Linked DNA regions of Neurospora crassa OR74A. The protein of the gene in region 5 interacts with the protein of the main gene of each other region in a biochemical or structural test. Links are inferred from orthologs where the notes say so. Each region holds a gene or a part of one and is shown on either strand. Other genes may lie near its edges. The genes, in order: NCU02706, NCU06708, NCU04252, NCU03889, NCU01907, NCU01741 and NCU05959.

The links.
Region 1: the proteins of NCU01907 (region 5) and NCU02706 form a complex in vitro, tested with the Saccharomyces cerevisiae proteins (2 studies listed by BioGRID). The link is inferred for Neurospora crassa OR74A from reciprocal best matches to the Saccharomyces cerevisiae genes SED5 and GOS1.
Region 2: the proteins of NCU01907 (region 5) and NCU06708 form a complex in vitro, tested with the Saccharomyces cerevisiae proteins (5 studies listed by BioGRID). The link is inferred for Neurospora crassa OR74A from reciprocal best matches to the Saccharomyces cerevisiae genes SED5 and SEC22.
Region 3: the proteins of NCU01907 (region 5) and NCU04252 form a complex in vitro, tested with the Saccharomyces cerevisiae proteins (7 studies listed by BioGRID, with this or other methods). The link is inferred for Neurospora crassa OR74A from reciprocal best matches to the Saccharomyces cerevisiae genes SED5 and SLY1.
Region 4: the proteins of NCU01907 (region 5) and NCU03889 form a complex in vitro, tested with the Saccharomyces cerevisiae proteins (2 studies listed by BioGRID). The link is inferred for Neurospora crassa OR74A from reciprocal best matches to the Saccharomyces cerevisiae genes SED5 and SFT1.
Region 6: the proteins of NCU01907 (region 5) and NCU01741 form a complex in vitro, tested with the Saccharomyces cerevisiae proteins (4 studies listed by BioGRID). The link is inferred for Neurospora crassa OR74A from reciprocal best matches to the Saccharomyces cerevisiae genes SED5 and BET1.
Region 7: the proteins of NCU01907 (region 5) and NCU05959 form a complex in vitro, tested with the Saccharomyces cerevisiae proteins (2 studies listed by BioGRID). The link is inferred for Neurospora crassa OR74A from reciprocal best matches to the Saccharomyces cerevisiae genes SED5 and VTI1.

What each region holds. Positions count from the first base shown.
Region 1 is NC_026501.1:3,263,831-3,267,226, reverse strand, and holds NCU02706 (protein transporter GOS1), read left to right. Parts: upstream 1-1,371; 5' UTR 1,372-1,690; coding exon 1,691-1,762; intron 1,763-1,827; coding exon 1,828-1,941; intron 1,942-2,010; coding exon 2,011-2,508; 3' UTR 2,509-2,896; downstream 2,897-3,396. Other genes in the region: NCU02707 (60S ribosomal protein L6), read left to right, coding at 1-258, 319-471; NCU02705 (F1F0 ATP synthase assembly protein Atp10), read right to left, coding at 3,135-3,396. UniProt on the Saccharomyces cerevisiae protein: Involved in transport from the ER to the Golgi apparatus as well as in intra-Golgi transport. It belongs to a super-family of proteins called t-SNAREs or soluble NSF (N-ethylmaleimide-sensitive factor) attachment protein receptor.
Region 2 is NC_026505.1:4,348,019-4,351,175, forward strand, and holds NCU06708 (protein transporter sec22), read left to right. Parts: upstream 1-1,350; 5' UTR 1,351-1,512; coding exon 1,513-1,546; intron 1,547-1,663; coding exon 1,664-2,283; 3' UTR 2,284-2,657; downstream 2,658-3,157. Other genes in the region: NCU06707 (uncharacterized protein), read right to left, coding at 1-227; NCU06709 (hypothetical protein), read right to left, coding at 2,917-3,157. UniProt on the Saccharomyces cerevisiae protein: Nonessential SNARE involved in targeting and fusion of ER-derived transport vesicles with the Golgi complex as well as Golgi-derived retrograde transport vesicles with the ER.
Region 3 is NC_026505.1:5,366,441-5,370,654, reverse strand, and holds the start of NCU04252 (SNARE docking complex subunit), read left to right. Parts: upstream 1-1,414; 5' UTR 1,415-1,806; coding exon 1,807-1,849; intron 1,850-1,926; coding exon 1,927-2,900; intron 2,901-2,958; coding exon 2,959-3,416; intron 3,417-3,482; coding exon 3,483-4,137; 3' UTR 4,138-4,214. UniProt on the Saccharomyces cerevisiae protein: Able to suppress the functional loss of YPT1. SLY1 is essential for cell viability. May interact indirectly, or directly with YPT1.
Region 4 is NC_026506.1:2,053,271-2,057,399, forward strand, and holds NCU03889 (SNARE), read left to right. Parts: upstream 1-1,329; 5' UTR 1,330-1,937; coding exon 1,938-2,072; intron 2,073-2,138; coding exon 2,139-2,300; 3' UTR 2,301-3,440; downstream 3,441-4,129. Other genes in the region: NCU03888 (DUF500 and SH3 domain-containing protein), read right to left, coding at 1-326, 385-488, 587-623; NCU03890 (stromal membrane-associated protein), read right to left, coding at 3,441-4,129. UniProt on the Saccharomyces cerevisiae protein: Vesicle SNARE required for retrograde transport within the Golgi complex.
Region 5 is NC_026501.1:2,073,864-2,077,918, forward strand, and holds NCU01907 (syntaxin 5), read left to right. Parts: upstream 1-1,255; 5' UTR 1,256-1,786; coding exon 1,787-2,065; intron 2,066-2,135; coding exon 2,136-2,665; intron 2,666-2,720; coding exon 2,721-2,826; intron 2,827-2,894; coding exon 2,895-2,933; 3' UTR 2,934-3,564; intron 3,565-3,709; 3' UTR 3,710-3,972; downstream 3,973-4,055. UniProt on the Saccharomyces cerevisiae protein: Required for vesicular transport between the endoplasmic reticulum and the Golgi complex. Acts as a target organelle soluble NSF attachment protein receptor (t-SNARE).
Region 6 is NC_026502.1:2,582,606-2,586,416, reverse strand, and holds NCU01741 (SNARE complex subunit), read left to right. Parts: upstream 1-1,346; 5' UTR 1,347-1,561; coding exon 1,562-1,575; intron 1,576-2,183; coding exon 2,184-2,508; intron 2,509-2,606; coding exon 2,607-2,813; 3' UTR 2,814-3,311; downstream 3,312-3,811. Other genes in the region: NCU01740 (histone H2A.Z-specific chaperone chz-1), read left to right, coding at 1-54; NCU01742 (hypothetical protein), read right to left, coding at 3,655-3,811. UniProt on the Saccharomyces cerevisiae protein: SNARE required for targeting and fusion of ER-derived transport vesicles with the Golgi complex.
Region 7 is NC_026506.1:3,311,437-3,314,691, reverse strand, and holds NCU05959 (vesicle transport V-SNARE protein VTI1), read left to right. Parts: upstream 1-1,189; 5' UTR 1,190-1,506; coding exon 1,507-1,906; intron 1,907-1,982; coding exon 1,983-2,181; intron 2,182-2,257; coding exon 2,258-2,345; 3' UTR 2,346-2,755; downstream 2,756-3,255. UniProt on the Saccharomyces cerevisiae protein: t-SNARE found in various SNARE complexes involved in multiple transport pathways. The composition of the t-SNARE complexes is specific for a limited number of v-SNAREs and therefore allows only the vesicles carrying the matching v-SNARE to fuse.

The DNA.
Region 1 (3,396 bases), about 1.2 Mb from region 5:
TTCCGTGGCAAGCGCGTCGTCCTCCTCAAGGCTCTCGACCAGGGTGTTCTTCTCGTCACCGGCCCTTTCAAGATCAACGGTGTTCCCCTCCGTCGCGTCAACGCCCGCTACGTCATCGCCACTTCCCAGAAGGTCGATCTCGCTGGCATCGACGAGGCCAAGATCAACGAGATCGCTCAGCCCAAGTACTTCACCGCCGAGAAGTCCAAGGAGAAGGCTGGTGAGGAGGCTTTCTTCAAGCAGGGCGAGAAGCCCCAGGTACGACTTGGGAATTCCGAGCTGGAACACGGGGCGCACAATGCTGACATAGTGATGCAGAAGAAGGAGGTTTCCAGCAGCCGCGTTGCCGACCAGAAGGCCATCGACAAGGCCCTCATCGCCAACATCAAGAAGGTCGAGTTCCTCGCCAGCTACCTCGCCTCTTCTTTCACCCTCCGCAAGGGTGACAAGCCCCACGAGATGAAGTGGTAGATTGTGGGCATGGGTGCTAGGGGACTGCATGCGGGTGCGGTTCGCGGTATGGCTCGGTCAGTTGCATTTGGACGTTGACGGTTCTCGGGTCCATTACGGCGTCTGTTATGAGGGTTTACAGTCATCAGGATGGTAAAATACGGCTTTCGGTTTGCAGAGGATACGGGTCACGAGCGAAACTCGAGGCATTGGGGACGCCCCATGACAATGTACAGGGGGCTCGTGAAGGCACTCGACTCTCGCAGAGAGCCTGTTCCTCCTGGTATCGCACCAAACCATGCGATTAGGGATCCGTCCAAAGAGCGGAAGATCAATACCTACAGATGCTATTTACTGCGCCTACCGCATACTCGACCATTGATATCCTTCGTGCGTTCTATGTGCGAAACTGCGTCTCTCATTGCGTCGGTGTATGTCTGCGAATCACACGTATTCAGTGAACAGCTACGACGACTGTATGGTGAGTCTTTGCGATTTATCAGCACTTTACAAAGCCCGTGTAAACATGGCTTGGCCCTTCTGTCATATGTCTTTCAACAATAGCTGAGGTATCTTCGCTCGCATGTCTATATGTGTGCTGATTAATCGTGTCCGCCGCGTCCAACAACTTCAGTGTCATCAACCGTGATGGTTATGAACTCGCGCCAACGTTCACGGCCGCAGTTGATGTCTACCACTGTTCAGACGGGAGAACGGTACGGTCCGCAGATATCTCGCGTGATAGTAGTTGTATGAACCTTGATGTCATGCTTGGCCTAGACTCTTGAGATGTGCATCAGCTGCCAGTGCCGAGGCGCTGACACCTGGCATAAGGTGACATGGAATGTATCGTCGGGTCCCCTACGTGGTGAAGCCCTATCTTCAGCTCTGTCGTTCTGCAGCAGCTCAGCTGAAGAGTCGACCCAGGCCGCTACGGTACAGTGGACATGTAACTGTGGCGCCTGCCGATACGTAACTGAACTTCTTCCACTAACAAAGCCACATCTCTGCCGTGCAAGCATCAATCATCATCATCACGACCATTTACGTCTGATCTAGGATCCTCCACCGGTTGACCTGTCCTGATCAACCTTACCACTACTATTACAGACAATTTTATAAATTCAAACCACATCATATTCTCCTCCCGCCAAGAGTGCCGCCTTCAGGCAACTCGGACGAATCGCATCCGTTGAAATTCATCGATCTTGCCCCAATAGCTTAGGAGCAGCACTGCATCATGGCGGCGACAACATCCTCAACCCAGGGCTGGGCCCAGTTACGACAACAAGCCCGATCGCTCGAAACACAAGTACGACTGAACTGGTCATGGGCCTTGGGAAATGGGAAGGGCATGAGACTAACATTTTCTTACAGACCGAAATGCTCCTCCACACATACGCCCAGTTCTCGAACCAGACCAACATCCCACCGAAGCCGACAGAAGAGGAAAGGCATACGGAAACGAGACTACGGGAGCTATTGGACAAAGTAAGTTTTTAGAGGTCAAGTAAAACTGTTTACATAAATTCGAACACTGCTAATACATGGTCTTTTCAGCGCGAGTCCGTAATCTCCCACCTCACCCGCCTCCTAACCTCGGACCCCTCCCCCTCAGCGCTCAAGCAGAACAACCTCTCCCTTCTGCGCGACAAGCTCTCGGACCACCGGCGGGACCTCTCCCGATTGCGGTCGACGCTCGAGTCGGCCCGCACGCGTGCCAACCTGCTAGGCAGCGTGCGCGACGACATCTCGGCATACCGCGCCGCCAACCCTGAGCAAGGCGAGGCCGACTACATGCTGGACGAGCGAGGCAGGCTGGACCGCAGCCACGATGTGGCCGACAGCGTGCTGAGCCAGGCGTACGCGGTGCAGGACTCATTCGCGTCCCAGCGAGAGCGGCTGGCGCACATCAACCGGCGAATTACTCTTGCGGCGAGCCAGGTGCCCGGAATCAATACCCTGATCACGAGGATATCGGCGAGGAAGAGACGGGATGGCATTATTATGGGCTCATTCATTGCGTTCTGCTTCTTGATGTTCTGGTTCTTCTCCTGAGTGGCGGTGGTGAACGAAGTGGGAGAGCGCTTCACGAACATGAGAGAGCGGAGAAATTCTGCTCAAGGACGGTTATGCGGCTCACTTCTTGTTGAGCGCATGCTATGGATCTTTGGAAGCGCGACAGGATCGCATCTTCCAGGAACCCTTATCGTAAGCGGCTGTACATGACACACTACTTCAGTGTCGGGCTTTCGTACTTTGACGGGAAGCATGGCGGGGATTACGGCGTTCAGGGGCGTTGCGAGGCAAGTAAGTGTGAAAGTGATTTTACAAAATAATAATATAATTTACAAACCCAAGAAGAAGTCCACGGCATTCTTGCTGGTTAAACCATGGCTCGTGGACGCATCTGCTGTAGACCAGACCAGAACAGACCAGAATTTCCCCGTTCGTCCGTGGTATTTTGAAATGCGCCCATCTCAGCCCCCGATGAGCCGACTTGCTTGCTCGTAAGCTCAATTAGCTTCTTCCCTGTAGCAGGAATTCGATGCTCAGAAACCTTGAGCTTGGCGAGCCTTGCTTTTCTGTTCCAGCAAAAGCTCTGTGACACGTCAGCTGGGCAATGGAGACTTTGTCACCCATATCATCTCAATGCATCTTTACGCCTAGGCATTCCGGGTCGCCTATTGCGCCGCAACAGACCCTTCTGCCTTCAACTCAGGGACAGCCGCTGTCTTCCGCACATAGTTCTTCCCAACACCCTCCTTGGTCATCTCGTCCAAAATCCTCTGGACGCCCTTGATCAGGCCCTCCTTCTCATCTCCCTCCGCATCACCACTGCCCGCCCATCGAATTCGGCAGTTATGATCCACCAGATACGTGTAGCCAACCTTGCTGTTTAGCAAACCAATTGACTCCCGAATCTCGTCCGTAATCCCCTTTGTG
Region 2 (3,157 bases), on a different chromosome or scaffold from region 5:
TCGACTGCTGGTTCCTCGACTGCTGGTTCCTCGACTGCTGGTTCCTCAACTGCTGGTTCCTCGACCGTTGACTTTTCGGCTGCTATCTCCTCCAAAGTCACCTGCGCAGCAGTATCAATCTTTTGGACAAGGATAGCATCCCAGTCCCCACTCACGCTCCGGGGAGGTGAGGCCGGAGGAGAAGAGAGGACGGAGGACAGCGGAGAACTACTTCCTTCTTCAGCCATCCTTCAGGACACCTTCAGTTAGTCGCCTTTCTGGAAAGATAATTATTGCGTGTTGAAGTTGTTCAAGGAGTGATCGAACGCGGCAGTGTGGGTTTGCCGGCAAAGGAAAAATTACCGTCAAGTCAGATCTGGATCTAGACAGATCCGGAACTACTTAGTTGTTGTGATATTAAACAATACCAGATAGCAGAAACTGGCAGAATGGCGCCGTGAAAGTCACCGTTTGTCTTTCGTAAGTCAATGATGGTTCATGCGGCCAATATGGCTGTGGTTACATCTGCGAACAAACTGATGTCTGGTGGAAGGGAGGGGAGAAAGTGGGGGGTTTATAAAAGTAGAGAATGAGATGCGTTCAGGTGAAAATGTGGTCAACGAAACGAACCGAAGTGGTACTACCTTGAGTACAAGTTGACGCGCAAGGTTGGGAGGATGTGCGAGGGAACGAGGTGGAACTGAACTTGATCTAACCACCACTCTGAACTGGGAGGGGGATTATACTGACTGTGATGAATGATAGGTACCTCTAGGTAAGTAGGTAGATATTCCACCTCCAGCTCCCCTTCCCCGATGTTGTTCGGTTGAAGATGCTCCTTCTTCAAGTCGTTGTGTGATGGACAGGATGGGTGGGGATGGAAGCTGAAAGGCGCCAAGCCCGGGCAGCCACTTGCATGACACACCCCGGAAGCTAGAGGTAGCTTGTACATACTGCATAGTAGGCGTGAATAGCGGGCCGGGCGAGACTGCCTGCTCGCACTATTTAACTACCTAAACAAAACTAACTTGCAGGCCCTGCAGGGTGAACTTTCAACACATTTCCAGCGGCAGTACCGTCATCAGTGTCCCGTTTGACGACTTGTAATCCTTGATAAGGAAACACACGTTGGCCTGGCGAAATCATTGCATCACTCTACCTACGGGTAATGTTTTGTTTTCTTTATATAGCCATGTAAAGAAAAAAAAAAAACAAGAAAGAGGATAGCGAATTACAATCTGGTCTGCTGGTCGACAGGGAAAGAAGCATGCAATTGAACAAGAGAATTCGTCGGTGCGAGTTGGTTGCGGTACCTAGGTAGAAGCCACGTACCTGGCTGCTTTTGACGGATCACTCCCACTCGTCATCACAAGCTTTTATAAACCTTGCCTTGTTCACTGTCCTCTCCAACGACACCAACTTAACAAATCCAAGCACGCAACTGAACTGGCCTTGATTTCGAGTTGCACAACGATACTAAAGGTCGCCAAAAACAACACAATGAAAAAGGAGTGATATAACCTATTCTTCACAATGATCCGCTCAACACAAATTGCACGGCTGGATGGTTCGTGCCCCCCCCCCCCCCCCCCCTAACTAACCCCCTCGACCAACATCTGTGTGCCTATGGAGATGTCAATGTCTTGTCCGGTAGCTAACCAAGACCCCTCCCCTCAAAACACAGGCCTCATGCTCTGCGCTTCCGTCGACGACGAAGCAACTGAATCCTCCCTCAGCGAAGTCAAGTCCCAAGTCAAACTAATTCTGCGCCGCCTAACGCGCACCTCGGAACCGCAAGCCAGCATCGAGAGCGGCTCTCTCTACACGCTGCACTACCTGATTCAGTCCGACATCGTATACTTCGCCATTACGGACCGGTCGTACCCGCGCAAGCTAGCCTTCACCTACCTTTCCGACATTGCGGGCGAGTTCGCGACGACGCACACCCCGGCACAGCTCATGAACCCGACGCTGCGGCCCTATGCCTTTATGGACTTTGACAGCTTCATCAGCCGCACCAAGGCGACTTACAGCGACACGCGTGCGACTCAGAACCTGGATAAGCTGCATGATGAGCTTAGGGACGTGACCAAAGTCATGACCAAGAACATTGAGGATCTGCTGTACCGCGGCGACAGCCTGGAGCGCATGGGCGAGCTGAGCAGTAGGCTGAGGGACGATAGCAAGAAGTACAAGAGGGCGGCTGTTAAGATCAACTGGGATTTGCTGCTGAAGCAGTACGGCCCCTTTGCGGCGGTCGGTTCCATTATCATCTTCTTCTTGTGGTGGAGATTCTTCTTTTGAGTGCATCCCAGGCAGGGAGCATCACCGGTAGCGGGTTAGCATGATACCGTCGGGTGGGTTTCCTCAGTCAGCCTGGCTCTGTATGATGCTGTGACGGATAGCCTACGTGGATTCTGTAATTATTTTAATATGTGTTTGTAGGGCATTGGTTTTTGGCGCTTGACCTAGCATGGAGTTTGGGTAAAGGAGGTTGGGGGGAAAGGGGGGCAAACGCAAAAGGACGTTTGGCCAGGTGAGGTTTCAGCTATCAAGACATGTTGCTTATAGGTTCCTGCTTTCCACTCCTTCATCCGATGCCTTCCTAAAGCCTGACAAGGTCTCTATGGATGACTGTACCACAGTGTCACCGATGCTCAATCATGCGTATCTCCTGGTTCATTCCAGACCGGCATCTCTTCTGCTCGACACGCTATTTCTGTCAAGCGATGATACAAAATCTCCATCTGAGATAGCCTATCGGTCTCTTTCCCTACTTGAAGTAGAAGCTCTTGCCCCCCCAAACTCCAATTCCAAACCCGTTTTTTTTTTTTTTTCTTTTTTTCAATTTTGTTGTTCTCAATCCAGAACATAAACCGACACCCTGGACACTAAGCCCAAGCTTGAACCACCCGCACACGCACCCGCAAGCCTCAATCACATAATCAAACAACTCCCCGCCGCCTTTGGCAATAACGCCGGTATACTCGGCACCGGCAACGCCGTATGATACCATTCCAAATGCTCCTGGAAGCTGGCCAAGTCCTCGAACCCCCTCTCGTCCTGTGCCCACTTGACCTCGTCCTCGCTGTCCTCACCCTGGTCCACGTACGTGTATTCGTCGCAGTAGGGACACCATATCCTCGCCAGCCAATCGCCAGGGACGGGGGCAATGTGG
Region 3 (4,214 bases), on a different chromosome or scaffold from region 5:
GCGTCCGCAAACTCGTCACGAATCTCCCCCACGCGTGCGCGGAAGACAACAGCGATGAGATTATCGCAGTTCGCTACAGCATTTCCTCTCTATCCCGGGTTAAAGAATGGAGAGGTCCCGACCTTGAACTCAGCTGAGCAGGCAGGTAACGAAATTAATCTTCAAAAGCCAGGGCCGCAGGTCGATCGGACGACTGCAGCTGCCAGGGAAAGAGACGACTTCCGAATGACGGTCGCGCAAGCAGAAAAACGCCCGAGACGTCAAGAAAACCTGCGCGTTTAAATCGCCTCTACAGCTTTGCCAGAACAGGGAAAAGATGTACGAAGAAAAGGACGCGACTATCAAGTACGACGATGGGCGATGCGACAAGGCGACCAAGGGCGACAAGTTGGTCGTCGAAGAAAGGAGAGATGCTGCTGATGTCAGGTCAGGGTGACGACGGGAGTTGAAAGGAAAAAAGTTGAACGTGAGCAGCGGTCGCGCAAATCAGGTGCGTTCCGCCGTTCATAAAAAGGGACTGACGCTTTGCGACTGGGCAAGCGGGTGCATGAGTGCAGTGGGCAGGCGCTTTCTCAACGAGTTTGCCAGTGACGGGAGTGCATTGACTGGCTGGCACGCTAGCGCTCACGGGCCGCCGACGCTCGTTGGCACTGGCGGATCACGGGCCTTTCTCCAAAAATGGCCCAGGCACGCAACGAAGTGGAAGTCAGCACACGTGTAGCAAGAGCTTCTGTGGTCAGTGCGCGTGGCAAGTGAAGGTGGAAGTGCCCCTGGGAAGTTGGATTTCTGTATGTAGCACGCTGGCACGATACCTGGAACCAAAGAGGAACCGGCCGTTTGTTGGGTTTTGGGTGGGTCCGCGCCAGCTGGGGGCAGGAATCAGTGGGAAATTGCAGCAGTGTTTGTACCTTACCATTTAATCGCTACTTCTACCTACCTCTAGACAGGCAGACAGGTTATGGCAGGAGCAGACATACTGAAAATACCTAGAGGTACGTACCAACCTACCTCTAGGGAAGGTATTTCTCTGGACCTTGAAGTTGTCCATCATACCTCTACACTTCTACGGATATAGGAAAATCGAGAGCAAATAAGACGGACGACATGGTAAATTGTCAGCGATGACACGCACGGGCTCAATCATCCATTCCTGGAACAGTCAAAGGTAAACGCCACAGAGACAGGAAGATGTCACAACTTGCTGGTTGCGGTGTCAATCGAACATTGGAGGACGATAACGGAATCCTCGTCATACCTCTACTGTGGGGGAAAGCTCTCAGCTCAGGGCGGCACCTCCTGTAAGTGGAGGTTAGCGGATATAGAAGGGAAGGGGTAAACAGTCCACTGGGAGACAAAGGCCACTGGTCCAAGCCGAGGGAGAGATGTCAGGTACCTTGCGGACCAGAGAAGACAACATACCTCCAGAAGTAGGTACCCAAGGTAGCTTCAACGGAGATATTCTGTTTCCTCACGTCAGCTTTCTGTATACCTAGGTACTATTGAACACGTAAGGATCTTCTGGACTCAGTACTGTAACATCTTAACACGTTTGCTCTTTCGTCTTTAAAAAGTTGCGGCTCTCTTTCAAAGTTTGCGAAAAGGCCAACGACTCGAGGCCAGCCTAGCGATAATTCGGTTCAAGGGACGCGATCACAAGCCGCCCCACCACTGTGACAGCGAGACGGGAGCTACTACCTTCCCTTCCACTTGCCTCAACAGCCTACAGTATTCTACAGCACCTCGGCCCCGAGTCCTCCTCCACGAACTTCCTGCCGACCAGCATAGCAATCACTTTAATACACAGACATGGCGCCAACACCAGGGAACTCTCTGCGCGACAAGCAGATCTGTATGTCCCACTGCCTTCCTATCCCCAAGGGTCACAATGCCAGACAGTCTTGCGGTGGACTGACACATGCTCTCTAGTGTCTATCAAGAAGCTCCTGAACCTCAACCAACCCCTCGAACCGACCGACGGCGACGACTCGAATGGCTTCCAATCCGCTTCCGCCCCCTTGCTAAAGGACATTCCCACGTGGAAGATCTTGGTCTTTGACGAGCTTGGTCGCAATGTCATCAGCCCAGTACTCCAGGTTTCGGATCTGCGATCCATGGGCGTCACGCTACACGTTTCCATCGCGGCCAACAGGCAACCGATTCCTGATGTCGATGCCATCTACCTTATCGAACCGAACGCCAAGAACCTCCAGCAAATCACCAATGATCTTCAGAAGAACCTCTATAACTCTGCCAGCATCAACTTCCTCTCCTCGGTACCACGGCCACTGTTGGAGGACTTTGCGGCGCAAACCGCTGTCGCCGGCACATCGGAGAAGATTGCCCAGATATTCGACCAGTACCTCAACTTTATCGTTCCCGAGCCGGATTTGTTCAGTCTGGGCATGCAGAAGGAGCATACATACTGGGCGTTGAATAGCGCAAAGACACAAGATGAGGAGTTGGACAGAGTTATCGACAGGATCGTCAGCGGCCTGTTTAGCGTGGTGGTGACACTAGGCGTCATTCCCATTATTCGCTGCCCCAGGGGTGCTGCTGCTGAGATGGTTGCAACGAAATTGGACCGAAAACTTCGCGATCATATTCTCAACTCCAAGGACAACCTCTTTTCGGCACACAGGGCAGCCGCTTCCAGCACTGGAACGCCAAAGCCCCTGCTCGTTATCATGGACCGTAATATTGACCTAATTCCCATGCTGTCCCACTCGTGGACCTACCAGAGTTTATGCGCCGACGTCTTTGGTTTGTCGGAATCGAACCGGATCACAATCGAGAGCCCCGTGGACTCCAATAACCCGGCCAAGGGCACCAACAAGAAGACGTATGATTTGGCTGCCGATGATTTCTTCTGGGCCAAGAACTCATGCCTGCCGTTCCCTCAGGTAAGCTGGAAGTGCAGACGGGACATCCTGAGGATGGTCTACTAACCAGGATGCTTAGGTTGCCGAGGACATCGACATTGAACTCACGAAATACAAGGAGGAGGCGGATGCTCTCACCAAGAAGACTGGCGTTAGGGATTTGGACCATTTCGAACAAGACTCGAGTGCAAGTGCTCAGCATCTAAAAGCAGCTGTTACACTCTTGCCCGAACTGCGCGCAAGAAAAGCCACTTTGGATATGCACATGAACATCCTTGCTGCTATCCTTGGCGAGATTCAAAGCCGACAGTTGGATAACTACTTCCAACTGGAGGAGAACGTGTTCAAGCAAACCAAGGCGCAAGTGCTGGATCAGATCAAGACGGCGGACAAGGGCAAGCCTGAGGATTACCTGCGTCTCTTTGTGATCTGGTACCTCAGCACGGAACAGGATGTGTCTCGTCAGGAATGGACGCAATTTGAGGAGGCACTCGCGGCCAAGGGCTGCGACACAACGTGCCTCTCTTACATTAAGCAGTACGTGCTACCCCCCTTTTTTTTCTTGGGCTTTTTCAGCCATTTCTGACTAACAATACCACACAGAGTCCGCGCCACGACCAAAATGACACAACTCACCACGGTAAATAATCCTTCATCCTCCAACCAGCAACAATCCGGGTCCTCGGACCTTTTCAACCGCTTCTCCGCCATCTCCAGCCGTCTCACCGACCGCCTCAAGGAGACGGGCGTGCCCACGGGCGCTCTCTCCAATAACGTGGCCTCTCTCTTGGGTGGCATCAAGAACTTCCTCCCCGAAGACCGCGACCTCACGGTAACCAAGATCACCGAGTCCCTCATGGACCCATCGGCCGCCAGCTCCTCGGCCATCGCCAAGACGGAACACTACCTCTACTTCGACCCGCGCAGCGCCAACGCGCGCGGCACCATGCCCCAGCCGTCGGCCATGCGGGCCCAAGGGAGCGGGTCATCCCTGGGCGGGCCCGGTGGCTTGCCAGGATCAAGTGGCCCGGGCCAAACGGCCAGTTTCGGGCAACGCAGACAGGGGTTCTCGGAGGCGATTGTGTTCATGGTTGGCGGTGCGAGCACGGCCGAATACAGCAATTTGCAGGAGTGGGCGGCGAGAACGACGACGGGAGATCGTGCGAAGAGGAGGGTGATTTATGGTGGTACGGAGTTGCTTAATGCTGGCAGCTTTATCAAGGAGGAGTTGGAGAGGTTGGGTAAGGAGGTTTCGTAGATTGATGGCCAAAGATGAAGGGGAAGAGTGAGGGGTGGAAGTGAGGAGCTGCTATATATCAGATTATAATTACTTTA
Region 4 (4,129 bases), on a different chromosome or scaffold from region 5:
TAACTGAAGATGCCCGCTACGCTTCTCAGCGAAGCGGCTCCGGCGGCCTCGGCATTTCTACCGACAGGCCCGGCCGCGACCGAAACGTTACCACCAAGTGTAAGTGACCCAGCTTGGGCGAAGGTTTTTACGGCGCTCGCGTCGTTGAGAATGAAAACGAAATCTGTAAGCTCGAAACCGATCTGACCGCCGAAGCCGGCACCACCCGTAGCAATGGCGGTGGGGGCAGACCAGCTGCCGTCGGGGAGGCGGGCGACTACCAGGCCGCTACCGAAACGGGCAGATCCGAGGAAACCAGCTTTGATGACGGTGAGTATAGCAAGACCCTAGGAGAACGTTAACCACCTGGTCGCTTTCGTTGAGGTTGCGGATGCTGTTTCGTACCTTGGCATTCGCGAGCACTGATGGCGGTATCACCTTGTCGGGACCAAAGGCTTGTTTGGGCTCGATGAAGGAGGCGAGGATTTTACCGCACTTCTTACATTCCGCTGGTTACAGACGTGTTAGGATGTCGGATTCGGCGAAGCGAAGGGGAGTTGCGGGGTCGGGCTCGCACAGCACGGGAACCCCGGGGACACAAACTCACACGAAAGTGACGACGGAAGAGGGTTGTTGATACCCATCTTGAAGTGTCGAAGCGGAACTCCCTATAGCGGACTGGCGCGGGTCTTGAAGGGCGAGGGCGTGTAGAGCGGCTGCGGTGAGAATGCCGTGGAAATGCGACAGCGACAGCGAAATATTAGAAAGAAAGAAAGAGATGGAGTTCGTCAGTCATTTCTCGGGACACTGGCCGATCAATGCCTGCAGGCACACTGGCAGGCAAGCAAGTAAGCAGATCAGCCCGGTCAATTTCTTGTGTACATAGTAAATGCGAGGTTGGTACCTGGGCGTCCCCACAACGGCGGTTTGTCAAGATGCTGGGGAGATCCTTGGGGTCACTTGTTGTTCGTGATGAACGATCTTGTTCCCGGAGGATAAGCCTTTGTGCGTGCTCTTTTGTTGGTGTAACTGTCCGTTTGAGAGTTTGTTTTTTTCCCTCTTCTTCACAGATCGGAGTAACTGATGAGCGAGGCTAAACAGTGGCATGGAATTCATCACAGTCAACATTTGAAATGGAAGTACTTGGAAATGGAAGCTGGAGCTCGTGCCGCGCGTCATGTGAGAACTGTAGCACTGGACCCTCAATCACTGGAGACGCTGGGATGGGCTTGGGCAAGCACTGCCGCCGTGGGCTGTGCAGTAGCGTACACTACTGTACCTCTACTTCTCTACTTTACTCCGTCCCTGCGCCCTGCACCTTCCACTTTGAATACCCGGGCCTTGTCCAGCGGGCAGAGCAGAGCGGGCGTTCGTCGTTACGTAGGTGACTGACTGACGGGACCCAAAGTTGCAGTGGCCCGACCACGAGCACAATCAAATGGCTCCAGCAGGCTCCGCTCCCCCCGAAAAAGACCCCGCATTGACCATGCATGTGCTTTACGCGCAGCCACACGTAAATGGCCGAAACTGACATCATTCGCGACTAGGAGGCCGTAGCTGTGGCTGGTGTATGCATCAACAAGCTGCAGTGAGCCGGCCGCCCCCATCATGATGGATGCATGATCCCGGTGTCCTTTCATTGTGACCCTGAACTGAGTGCATCTGGAACCTGCTACAACCTACCCCCTTTTGACATCCCCATAGCACTCAGCAATACCTAGGAACACCACGGCTTCACTCCGAACAACGGACGCTGCAAGACACCGAAGCCGACCCCCGCGCGCGCGACAAAATAACACGTAATAACATCTTCGATAATACGAAACTCGGGCCATATCAGCGAGTTCCAATTAACCCGATACTCAAAACTGACGAGTGAACCTCCCACACGGCCGCTGAGCGAGTCGCAACATACAACTACGACCACAACACAACCCCCCCCCATTACCATTATCAAGATGTCCGCAAACTACGAGCGCGAGCGCCAAAATAATGCGCGCCTCGACGAGCTAGCCTCCAAGGTTTCTGCCCTTCGAGGTGTAACGATTGACATTTACGACCAGGCGCGCAACCACGAAGTTATCGACCAAACGGTACGGTTCCTTTGATTTTACTCTGCACAAAATAACAAACTGACAAGTCCCACCAACAACGAACAGACCGATACCTTCTCCTCCATGGGCTCTCAACTCAAAGGTTCCGCCACCCGTCTAGGCCGCATGGCCGCATCGGGGAACAAGGTCGCCATTCTCAAGCTCTCGGGTATTCTTATTGGGAGCTTCCTGGTCATTTACTATCTTTATCGACTTTTTGTTGGTTAAATGATTCAAAAAGTCACGACGTGTGAGAGGGCTAAAGTCGTTTGAATATTGGGTCTATTGGGTCTATTGAACTTCGACATGCGAATACATGCCAGGAAGCAAAAGGAAGGGAGGTTCTCTTCATCGGGTTCACTACAACAACACAGGGCGAAGGATGTAGAGGGCGGCACGATTCGATTCCCGACAAATATCAGGAATGATAAGACGGATGCGTGCGAAGCCGGACATCAAGACAGGATGGAGCTTGTCCGGATAGCTTGTTGGATGTTGGAGTGCTGGTACAGGCGATGTGCAGTCCGCTTGCTCCCACAAAAGCCGCTACTAGTATTGCGCAGAGGAGGTGCAATGTAGGGTGGGGCAATGGGTGGGAGGGTAGCAGGTCACGCAGGACCGTAGGTCTGTGTTTTGGTGGATTCTGAACGAAGTGTGGATTTTGGTTTACAGACTGGGCTTAATGTTTTGTCTCGACAACAGACGGGTAGATGCAAAGGCATAGCAATGGCGTTGACGGTTCGGTTTTGTTTGTTTATTTGGGATTTGGTTTCTGCGTACCTTAGGTTGTCATTGATACGTCGTGTCGTATAAGCCAGACATCGACATTTCTCAGTCTCATCCTTGATTTTTCATTTTGAAACTTCAAGGACATCAGAAGGACATTAATGAGGGCAACACACACCTTACAAAAGATAGGAGGATCCTATATAAAAGTGCATTACTTTTGCCCTACCAACGAACAATAACTTGTTGTCTATAATGTAAATATGCCAAAACAAAACATGACTTGCTGATGTAAGAATGACTGCGTTGTTCATCATTCCCCTATTTGTCACGCATAAACCATCATTTGCCTAACTCTTAACTAGATCAGACTCCCACAGCATAAGTACGACATGGTGTTCGTGGATAGCATCCCCTTTCCAGTCAGGTGGTATAGAAGGAAAAACAAGTTCGGACGCTTGATGGGTTTGGTTTGGTTTGGTATAAGTTTGTCCGAGCTATTTCTCACATCACCTGCCGGTTGATTATATATTTACATGGTCGGCATCAGGCGCGAGGACAACAGCAAAAATCCCAGTAGACTGCACTCGGTTACCTCTGAACCCCATGTCGGAGATCCCTGAATTGTCGTTCTAAGGTTTCTTATTGCCAGACGTTTGAGAACAGGTCGTCACTGCCACCAAAACCGGTAGCCGGCTTGGATCCGCTCGGAGCAGCTGGTGTGGTAGTGCTGCTCATCCAGCCCCCAAACTCCTCATCGGCCGCCACCTTTGGTGCTGGGGCAAAGCCGCCCGAAGCGCTGGGGACAATAGGTTGGCTTGCGAAGGAGCCGCCGGTAGTGGAGGAGGTGGTGGTGCTGTTGCCCCATCCAAAATCGTTAGAAAGAGGGATAGAGGTAACAGGTGCTGGCTTGGGCGGTTCAGGAGCCGCAGGCTTGGGGGGCTCAGGGGCGGAGGCCCACTCGTTGGAACCCCATACACCTGCATCTGACCAGGCGTTAGACGTCGCAATAGAGGCAAGAGGGTTTGGTGTTGTTGAAGTAACGGCTGCAGGGGCCGGCGTGGTTGCGGCGGGCTTGGAAAGGTTGAATGCGGAGCTGAAGTCAGATGAAGGCTTCGGGGCGGCGGCCGAGGGAGGAGCGGTAGTAGCAGTAGCTGTTGTGGAAAAGTCAAACAGGTCACCGAGGGCGGAGGAAGCGGGCGCGGGCTTAGAGGCTGGCGCAGGAGGAGGGGTTGATGAGAAGCCCAGTGGGCTGCTGATGGACTGCTTGGATTGGTGGGAGGATGTGGCGGGCTTGGAATCGAAGAAGCTGCCACCGCTTAGGCCGGAAA
Region 5 (4,055 bases):
TGGACTTGCGCTGGCAGTTGACCAGATGACACTGCATCCATTCATGCTCCCTGCTCTTTCCTCTCGTTGTTGAAGATTATGGTCCGGGACCGCGGCAGGGATCAGCAGCCCAGGGCAGCATTGGAACGTCAGGCGGACGTGGGGCGAGCTTTAATGAGACAGGCTATTAGACTCTCCACTCTGTAAGGCACTAACTGAATGCCACCGCACTCGGCCGCGGATGCAGTTAGAGAAACCTGTGGCTCTACATTTTCGGAATATGTAAGGTATTCGTAGACCTCTTGGGTAGAGGTAGGTGAGGTGAAGCCGAAGGGAAGCTTCTTTTAGGTTTACGAACTCACTACACAAGGGGAAAGTACTGATAATTTGCATTCAATTCTTTAGTCAAGTATAGGTATCTGGAGAGAGAGGCCTTCACGGCGACGCTTCTACGGGGCATTCAGGCCTCAGCAAACCACATAACTCGCCAGGAAAGGGGGGAAAATCCCATTTGAATGAGAATTAGAAGTGCTGCAAGTTGTTTGGTTTTGTGAAGCCCTAGTTCAAAGGCAGTCACAATGGCTCTAGAAATGATACCCCGGATTTCATCCGTTTTTAGAGTATCTACTTAGAGGTAATTCTTAGCTACCTACTTTGGTTGCGCCTCGATCGATGCTAATGGCGTTCCACCCTTGCTGGCGCTGCAGTGACAGGCCTTGAGTTTCTGGTACCGCTCAGCTCCAAGCGCCCGGCCTGACGTTCATTCATGTACTAGAGGTAGTACCCCAAATCCATGGGCCGCAGTGGGTCAGAAACGCAGTAACCCAGAGGCCAGGGGCATTCAACGAAGCGTCTTCCCATTCTGACAGACGTGACCCCATCATGTAAAAATGACATACCTCTAGTCACATCTCACACCTTTGGCTCGGATAACCAGAAATTCATCTCCCATTCTTGGGCTTTTGGGTCTGAGTGTGGGGGCAACCATACTATTCCAAAGAGTGGCAAAAAAATACAATGTGAAAGAACATTGAGTTGCAGTGCCGAGGTGTTATCGACTTCAAGGTTGATCGGGAAGTTGATTCTTTAAAAAGACTGGGCTGATGTCCAATCAAATGTACTACTAGCGAGTCTAGCTTAACTGAATGCTTAACAACAGTGTCTTGGTCAGTCAGCTTTGGATTTTTGCACTGTGAGCTTTTCTTACTCAACTGCAGGGGCCGAGCCACACACTGCAGCGTCACGGGCCCTCCTGAAACTATGTAAGTAAAGTAACCACGTTTTCCCTTTATCGAACTCCCGTCGCTGATGACAACAACGGAGGAGCTTGTTCAACCTCGACGACCACGACACCAACCATTTGACTCGACGACGGCGACGACCACGACCACGACGACGAACTTATAACACCGCCACTCATTCATACGTCATCGCGAGTCCATCGTGTAGCGCCTTTCATAAATACGACCTTCAATCAACACACCCACGACCAGCCGCCGACCTCCTCGCCAGTCGCGAATTAGCCTCGCTCCCGCCGCATCCCCCGGATCCGCCCATTTCCACTTTGCCAATCCATAATCTCCTCCGCAAACTCGCAGCCTACGAGTCGCATTCGCCCCCGGTCACGATTGACAAAGTTGACGACGTCTCGATTCCTGACTTACGAACTCCGACGTGTTATTGATTACGACTTAACCGCGTGCCGGTTGCTCAGGGGTACACGCGCCCCTCTACGACCCATTCCCCGCGATTAGCTGTTGGAAACGGACGGACTACCGCCTCAGCATATACCGATACACCTCTAATTATGGCTGTCTTTGCCATCAACGACCGAACGGAAGAGTTCCGACAGATTGTTGCGGCTGCCCAGCGTAGGCAGGCCACAAAGCCAGGAAAGCAGCGACTTCTGGACACCGCTCAACAACATGCTGCCAGCAGCGATGCCCAGCCCAGAAGGTCTGAGTTTGCGAGGGGGGCTGCAGAGATTGGAAGGGGTATCTCTGCGACAATGGCCAAGCTGGAAAAGCTAGCACAGCTGGCCAAGAAGAAGACTCTTTTCGATGACAGGCCGGTCGAAATCAACGAGGTAAGCTGGGTCATGCGCTTGATCTTTGCGCGCCTCGACTCCATAACTGGCTGGCTAACCATTATGTTAGTTGACCTTTGTCATCAAGCAAGACCTGTCTTCGTTGAACGAGAAGATCAGGAACCTGCAAGATCTCTCTAGACGTCTGCACCCGAAGCCCGACCAAGAAGGGGAGAACAACAAAAACATTCTCCTGCTCCTACAGGGCAAGCTGGGAGATGTTGGTGCTAATTTCAAGGACGTGCTCGAAATCAGAACCAAGAACATTCAGGCGTCGCGGTCGAGGACCGAGAACTTTGTCTCGTCAGTAGGTCAGCACGCACATGCTTCCTTGCAACAATCTGCGTCACCTCTGTACGGCACGCCTAGTAGGGGAACGCCAGCACCAGGGCAGCAAGATCTGATCTCGCTGAACCCGATGGGAGATCAGCAGATGCAGCTCCAGATGTTGGAGGAAGGCCAAAACACCTACGTCCAACAACGAGGGCAAGCGATCGAGGCCATCGAGTCGACTATCAATGAGCTGGGTTCCATTTTTGGGCAGCTCGCGGCCATGGTCAGCGAACAATCTGAGATGATACAAAGAATTGATGCCAACACGTAGGTTTGTCTCGAGACGCTCGACACACCAGCACTGTACTAACACACCATGCAGAGAGGACGTGGTAGAGAACGTCGAAGGCGCGCAAAAAGAACTGCTCAAATATTGGAGCCGTGTTTCAAGTAATAGATGGCTCTTAGCCAAGATGTTTGGTGTTTTGGTAAGCCCAGTATTCCTGCTCTGTTACCTATGCCCTGCATAAAACTCTAACGCTGTGCGACTTTGTAGATGATTTTCTTCCTTCTCTGGGTATTAATTGCCGGGTAGACGGCAGTTGTGGCGGCGTTTCAGTAATATTATACTTCTTCTTTATAATGCATGCAGAGGCGTCTCTTGTAGACTTTATGCATTAATTATACAATTTCTCTTCCTCATGAAGATGCGGTTCTTTTTTTGCATGCGCTCTTCCATGTCCTTTCACTGTTCCACAACATAACCTCTTGCAAGGCTGATAGAGCTCAGGTATACCTCTGGATGGTCGGTGGGGGCATTTGATTATTTATACCTACTTGCCGAGGAAGTTGGCTTCAGCATAGGGATCAAGACTCAAAGTTCGCTCTCGGTTCATCTAAGGTCAACAAATACTTAACCGACGGAATTCGCTTACGCTAAATGCCACCAATAGAGGAACAGGTTTAGACTAAGCACTCCACGCCCCCAGTTCCTGCAACTGTAATCATTTCAGTTCCACTCAGCTTCGGTACCTGGAACTAATGCTCTCCGCTCGAGCCCCAGAAAGAAACCCAGAGCAAGCGAACACGACGGATCCACTCGGCCACTCACTGTTACCACTATCTATAGTAGAGCGGACCGACACCACAGCAAGGTCTCATTCCGACAGAGGGGCAATCGTTCCGCCGAGGCCCTTGTTAGATTCAGCCAAGTTTCGCGGGGTAAGGTGAGAGGATGCCATCCGTTCCATTGACCGGATGTTTGTTGCTGGGGCTATCTTTGGCGAGGTTGTCGATATCCCACCTTCGAAGTACTGTCTGATATCTTAACGAAACGCCGAATGCCATCGAGTACTGACTAAACACGAAAAGACAGAAGCCCCGAGTGCCGTATTTCTGGACGCCTCAAACCCAAGTTCACGATGTTCGAGTTACACAATGGCGTGTCGATGTTCCGTTGTTACTTCCATCCACGCTGTCCATGAATAATTACAGTCGGAATTTCAGGTCTCATGATTACCTAGTCAGGTACAGACAACATGAAGAAAAAGAATCATTACAAACATGTAGCTTTCTCGGAATCGATAACACCATAACTATCCCCCACGCTCTAACGCCGATTGCCATTTAGCCGAATGTCCAGTGTGGCTCAAACCCTGGACAACCTTCTCCTCGAACGTAACTTGATATAACTGGTCAATCCTCCTCTGTCTTTCCT
Region 6 (3,811 bases), on a different chromosome or scaffold from region 5:
GATGAGGAGGACGACGAGGAGTTTGTGCCCGAGGATGAGGAAATGGAGGAGTAGTCCGAGGCTATCTTCTGATTTCCTTTGATGGTTCACAACAACAACAACAACAACAACAATGACAACAGATTCTTGTTTTCTTTCTTCCTGGGTTTCCCCGTTGGCTCTGCGCTTTGCTCGCTGCCAGTGGTTGAGTTTTATGATGATCACGAGCTTGGAGATGTAAGCCGTCTTTTGGCTGATTGCTAAGCCTGATTGGCTGGACCTATTTATGTACGTGAATGTCAGCTATAAGGCCTGGGGTTGTTTGGTTCAATGCGTTGGGAGTTCCCACAATCAGAATTTGGCAATACATGATAAGGGTGTAAGTGATCATTCGTTTATCAGTTCAGGTAGACCGATCTCTTCTGTCAGCCAATTTCAAAGTATCAACATACTACGTACGTTGGTGTATCAGAATACGCTTGATCGCTTGTCTTCACTAACCTAACCCCCATAAGTGGAGACATTGGATGATTCCCCTGTCAGCTCAAGGGCAGTTGGCCTGTTGAGATGGGGTGCCACTAAACTAACCGCGAGGCAGCCTGAAGGGGGTGATATGTCTACGGCTGACCTATGAAAAGGTAATATTCCGGCGAATTCTAGAGTTGCTATGACCATCGAGATTTGATATCGGTCCTGTTCCTGGAGTACACAGCAGACGTCAGGAACCGGAGCATCGCACCAGCCACCAACAAGGTTCGCGATCTTGGCCTGATCCACCGGGTATTCTACGCAGTACCATACACCAGCTTCTTTGACGCCAACATCTGTGAGAATGCATGCCTTCGACTTGGAAAGCTTCAACGATTCTGAAAGTCTCGGATTTGGGCTTAGATTCGCTTCAATAAGTCCATACTTGAGTCTATGCGCCTTGCGCAATCTAACGTGGATCAACTTATTGCTGACGCGACAAGCTGAGAGAGAAAAAAAAAAAAAAAAAAAAAAAAAAAAAGGTAGAGGAAGAATGGAGACGCTGAACGCCCAATTAGCCAATATCAGTGGAAGCAACACGGGCACCTCTCGGAGGGACTTTGAACAACGCCGAACATGAACCCTCCGACATAAAGAAAAATTGAATGATTAAAACCAGATACATTGGGGAAAATAGTGTCAAGTTCTCTCGGAGAGGAAGACGTGACACCAACCCAGATGTTCAATCAACGTGTCCTTGTCAGCATCATGCGGCACGAACAACATTGTACCTTTTAGCCATTACATATGTATCACCCAGACACGGACTGACGTTGTAGTTTATGTACATGGACGGCGCACCAAGGTAACATCTGGCCAGAACAGGCCTAACAACCACCCAAACTAAAAAGGGGGATCTGCCGGCGCTGGCGGCCAAGGGTCCACGGGCATTCAACTTTATTTTCTTTCTTCACCACCCGCACACCCCCCGCCCGACGCTACCTCTATGGAACCTGCCAATTCATCATCTCTAATACCTACCCACACTCTTACAAGTTAGCTAGCATTTACCTGTCAGGATTCTCGAAGACGGATCGACCTAAATTTGCTCTCCATGATGGCTTCCAGGTGAGTGCGATTCTCTTGTACGTTCGTCTTAGCATTGCACCACACCACACGCAAATGCCACCTTTCACATTTCGAAATGCGACTTGGCCTGTCAACTCGACCAAACCCACGACCGACACGCGATGAAGCGAGCGGCCGACCGAGCTGCCCGGCTCCGGTGAACGGGTGTACGATATTGCCACCGGAAGATATCTGCGGACCAAAGGCAGCAGCTATCGATGTTATGGTGGTTGGTTTGACAAGTCACGATTTCTCGACCTGCCCCCCCTGGTCATGGCGCGACGGCCTCAACTACGTCATCGCTCTGGTTTCAGAGTCTCGCCAACACGCCTCCAACCATGCCATGGTAGGATACGATACGAGTTCACTACCGTGATGTGATGCAGTCGCAACAGCGGCGCAACCACAGCAGCACTGGCGACGAGAGCGAGAATGACAGCGAAACCGAAAGCGTCAACTCGATCCATCCACCATGCCCCCGGGTCGTCCTCGATTCGACTTTGACCACCCACCACAACCCCCATCCCACCAACCCCTTAATCCTTCGAACAAGACAAGACAACACCCTTCTAACAATTAGTCCGCTTTTCTTTTTCTCCGGAGTACAGATTTGCACATTCCTCTCTACACCAGCGCGACCCGCGCAGCGACCTTTTCAAGGGCTACTCTGGCTCCAGCGCAGCCGAGCGCCGCTCGGCCAACGCCAGCCCAGCAAGGTATGGCGGTGGCGGCGGATACGGGTACGGGGGCGGCTATGGTGGCGGTGGGAGTTATAACGGCAGCTCGTCAACACTGGGGATGGAACGGGGCGGGTTTAGGCCTGCTACTCCAAATTCAAGGGGCCAGTACAGCGACGCAGTCCTCAACGAACTCGAGAGCCAGAATGATGAGCAGGTGGAAGGGATAATGGGTAAAGTCAAGATTTTGAAGGATGTATGTTTTTGTTCTCTCTTTCTGCTCTCCTCCCTCTCTCCCACTTCCTTCTCTCGCAAGCCACCCATCAACTAACCCCATCCCTCCCCCACAAACAGATGACTATAGCCATCGGCGATGAAATTCGAGACTCCTCCGCCCTCGCCGAGAAGATGAACGAATCCTTCGACCAAACCCGCCTCCGACTCCGTGGTACCATGAACCGAATGCTCATCATGGCACAGAAGACCAATGTCGGGTGGAGGGTGTGGCTTGCCTTTTTCGCTGCCGTGGTGTTCCTCTTTTTTTACGTGAGGTATCTCTAGTATCCTTCCAAGGTCAAGGTTTTTCTGAACTTGGAAGAGAGAAAAAGAAAGAAAAGAAAAAGACAAAGATGGAGGGATATGTTGGTCGGCGGAGTGGTCCTCCTGCTGCTGCTGCTGCTGCTGCTGCTGCTGCGCGGGGCAAAGCGATATGTTCAAGAATGATGGAAACGAGAAAAGAGACCATATATATGCAAAGGAAAGATGGGATAGTATATATATGGCTTTAACGATGGGTAATACCAATGGATGATGAGGAAAACGGAAGGTTCTAGGTCAAAGTGGCTGACTACCTTGTGGGATAGAAAAGGCATGGATATGGGTTGCCCTTGGTAGATTGCGGGCGGACTTGGTTTTTGCATGCTGGCGCCGGGGAGTTCGCGTTTGTTAAGTCGTTCGGGTAGTATCAGAAGTCGGTTTTTTTTGGTTTTTTTGTGGTACCTAATTATTTTAATCATTCTTAATCCGTTCTCCAACCAATGAGGTTCAATTATCTGGTTTAATCCACTGATCAATCATGAAGCTATATATGGGCTCCCACAAACGTGAAGTGGATAATCATTGAGCGTATAACAGACAGTTAATCAGAACTGCGTGTAGACTACCACTGCATAGACCAGACCATTGCTGTAACGAAGATCAAAGTTGTCTTTTGACGGACATTATCTATTCAATCCTGCTTCCCAAGCCACCAAGTAGCTACCCATACTGCCATGATCCCAAGACTCCATGCGCCAGACTCAAACGACCTGTTATTGAATGATGCTTGCTGACCGTTCCTACCACAACTCCTCAGTTTTAATCCTCCCTTGTTTCTCTTTCCGAACCACCGCGGACCTTCATTCTAGTGCAACCTCCTCACCCTTGGACTGCTTCTCATCATGGGACTACTCTCATCAACAGACAACAGCCCACTGATATCCAGACTGCTCCTTGGCGCTCCAATTGTGCTCCGCCTGGCATTTCCCGCAAGACTAGTCCTCAACAGCCGCTGCTGCTGC
Region 7 (3,255 bases), on a different chromosome or scaffold from region 5:
CGGTGAGTCGCTGAAATCGGCCGCCGATGTGTCAAAACCGTCGGACGTTGGCGTGGGCTTTTTCCTTCGGCGGCGGCGGCGGCGGTACGTAACTCGATCCTGGTGAATGTCGCCAACACTCTCCACTAGCCAAGCGATGATGTATTCCAGCGAATCCTATGGCGTGCCGAGAGTGGATCAGCCTGACAAACCTTCGAATGAAGAACCTCGCAGCGAATTCTCGAATTGTGACCGGGGTCGCTGATTTGTCCGTTGGTGATGGATGTTTTGTGGTGGAGGTTTAGTCAGACGGGTCGGTATCGCTGGGCTGAAGCCTGGTGTTGCTGGACGACGAGCAACAGAGAGAGTGTATGAGTGCGTGTATGTGTGTAAGTAAGTGTGTGCCACGAGGCCGGACCAGATGGCCATGAGCAGTCCTGGTGTTTTGATGTCGGCGACGAAATCCGAATGTCATAGCTGACATATATATGATTTAACAGAAGGTGCAAATCTCGTGGCAATGTCGAGCAGCTACCTACTATTTGCGCCGCAAAACAACATTGCCGACCAATCCGACCCGACTGCCAGGAGAACATTTTCCCAAAGCATCGGTGGCGACAGACTACAAACCCAAAAAAGACTTGGAAAATTCAAGACACCAACCAGAAACAAAAGGCTGGCAATGTGTCCATTTTCTGGGGAAACCAGCCAAGGTTCGCGTCAAGCAGCCGTGACAGTGTCTAGGCAGTGTACACTATATTATCTTAGCATGTCTTGGGACGTGGCCGTTGACTGGACCTTCTAAGCGATATGTCCCCCAAAACAGTTCCCTTCCCTAGGTCGTCATCGGTCTCAATTCGTTGCTGGCTGGTGAAAGGTCAACTCAGTCATACAAAGAAACCAATTGAAGAGTTTCAAGACGCCAAAGTCCCCGGCAGTCCCAGGCGGGGTTGATACGTTCAACTGGACACGGTCCGTGTAAGTTACACTTTGCAAACAATACATACAGCGCTTGCGTACACGTACTGCAACAACACTGCAATACATGCGGCAACGCCAAGCATGTGTACGTCACCCGCCTAGGCTGCAACTGTAACCACTGTAACTGTATGTAACAAGCGGAATGTCATGTGCCCATGCTGGTCCGTGCCCACAGCTGCTGTCGTCTCCCGCCTGCGGCCTGCCTGCCTTTCAGTTCGCTTGTCAGGCTGCTGAGACGACCGCAACGACTAACGGGGCTCGAAGCACACTGGTGTCGCTGGCGACAGACAACATTCGACGACGACCACTACTCCTTGCGATCAGACCAACCACACGCCAGCCCAACCACATCTCGTCCAACGCGACCGCATCAACGACGCCCCTCTTTGGCATGATTAATGACGAATCTGAATAATTGAGAATAACGATACCCGCCGATAAACGAGCATCACCCCGATACGGCCAGCCCGACGACAGCACCCCCACACCTGCCCCGAACCCCAACCTCCACATCCGATAGCAACACATAACTCCATTGAATCCAAGATGGCCAACATTCTCGACAGCGAAGCCGGCACAGAGCTCTTCAAGCATTATGAGACGGAATACCAGCTGGTCCAGGCCGACCTGGTCCAGAAGCTCGACCAAATCTCGGAGCTGACGGGCGAGCCCAGGAAAGCCGCCCTCAGCACGGCCGAGCGCGCCCTGGAGGAGGCCGGCGAGCTGCTGGACCAGATGAACATGGAGAAGCAGAACGTGCCCAGCTCGTCGCGGACCGCCATCAACAAGCGACTGCGCGACTACCGAAGCGACGTGGACAAGTATCGTCGCAAGCTGCAGACGCTGGCGACGGACCGCAGCGCCCTGTTCGGCGGCAGATACACCGATAACCCGGGCTCTTCGAGTGGCGATAGGCATTTTGAGCAGAGGCAGCAGCTGCTATCTGGTGGGTGGTGGACAGAAGCACCTTATACATGGCAAGAAGAAACGGAATGCTGACTATTTCCCCCGAAACGTAAAAGGCACCGACCGGCTCGATCGGAGCACACAACGCCTCAAGGCCAGTCAGGCGCTGGCCGCCGAGACAGAGGCTATTGGCGCCAGCACCCTGGCCGACCTGCACCGCCAACGCGAAGTCATTGAGCACACCACCACGATACTATACGAGAGTGAAGGCTATGTGGACCGAAGTGTCAAGACACTAAAGGGCATGGCACGCAGGTACCACCCTCCCCTTTTGTCCCAATGCGAATCATGATGATTAGGTAATACTGACCACTTGCGCCTTTACCATTAGGATGGCTACGAATCGGATAATCACCATTGCGATCATCACCGTGCTGGTCCTCCTTATCATTGCGGTTATCGTTAGCAAGTTCAGGTGATTGTGTCGAGAGAGCTGAGCGAATCCATAAAGAAGCAATACAACATCAGGTAGAACAGGCAGGGGTGTTCAGTGACATCACGATATATACGAACAGGTGGTGGATGGTTTGGACTGTACCGATGGAGCGTTTGTTATAACAGAGACATGTTCCAGTTCCATGTTTTTCGTATCGTAGGGATGGTATCGTACGGGGGGTTGTATTTTTACACAGACGGCGTCACAAAGGGAGGTGGTTTCGAAATTTAGACGTATTTCTTTCTCATGACCATACGGCGGCCTTGCTTCCATGGACGTTCCGACATCCGACAGGGGAAAACGGCTCGCCATGTCCACCACAACTCGCCGCCACATGGGTAGCGGATCGTTCTCTATGATTTCAAATGATTCTCCTCTGAGACATAGTATCCCTGACTTTGGTCGGTGTTGACCGGGGCCTTGGTTAAAACAAATTTTCTGTTGGCCACTGTTGTTTGAATGATTTGCGTTCACCACACCTCTGCTGGGATGTGACTTGGTAGCTTGGTAGTTCTACAAGAAACAGAGAGCGAGCCTTCGACAAAGTCGCTATTTCTTGTGCCCAAATTAAGCTTCTTTGCCACCCTGAAGAACCGTGGTGTACTGTGTATATCCCAGCAAGAACTGTGTCTTGGTAACTCATGTACACTACAGGCCTATTACAAATGAGTAGACTAAGAAATTTTCCATGTGATGGAAACACGCATCACTGCAAATCACGTCAAGTCATCTTCTTCGAGATACTTTCGTTGTTGTTAACATTTGCATATAACCCCACTTTCACAGATACGCAGTACATAACGGACCCTCAGACCTTCCACAGCTCCAGTTGAACTTTAGGCGGTGAAAAAAAAGAAGTCCACCGGACTGATGTTCCGCAGCTCAAGCTGCAG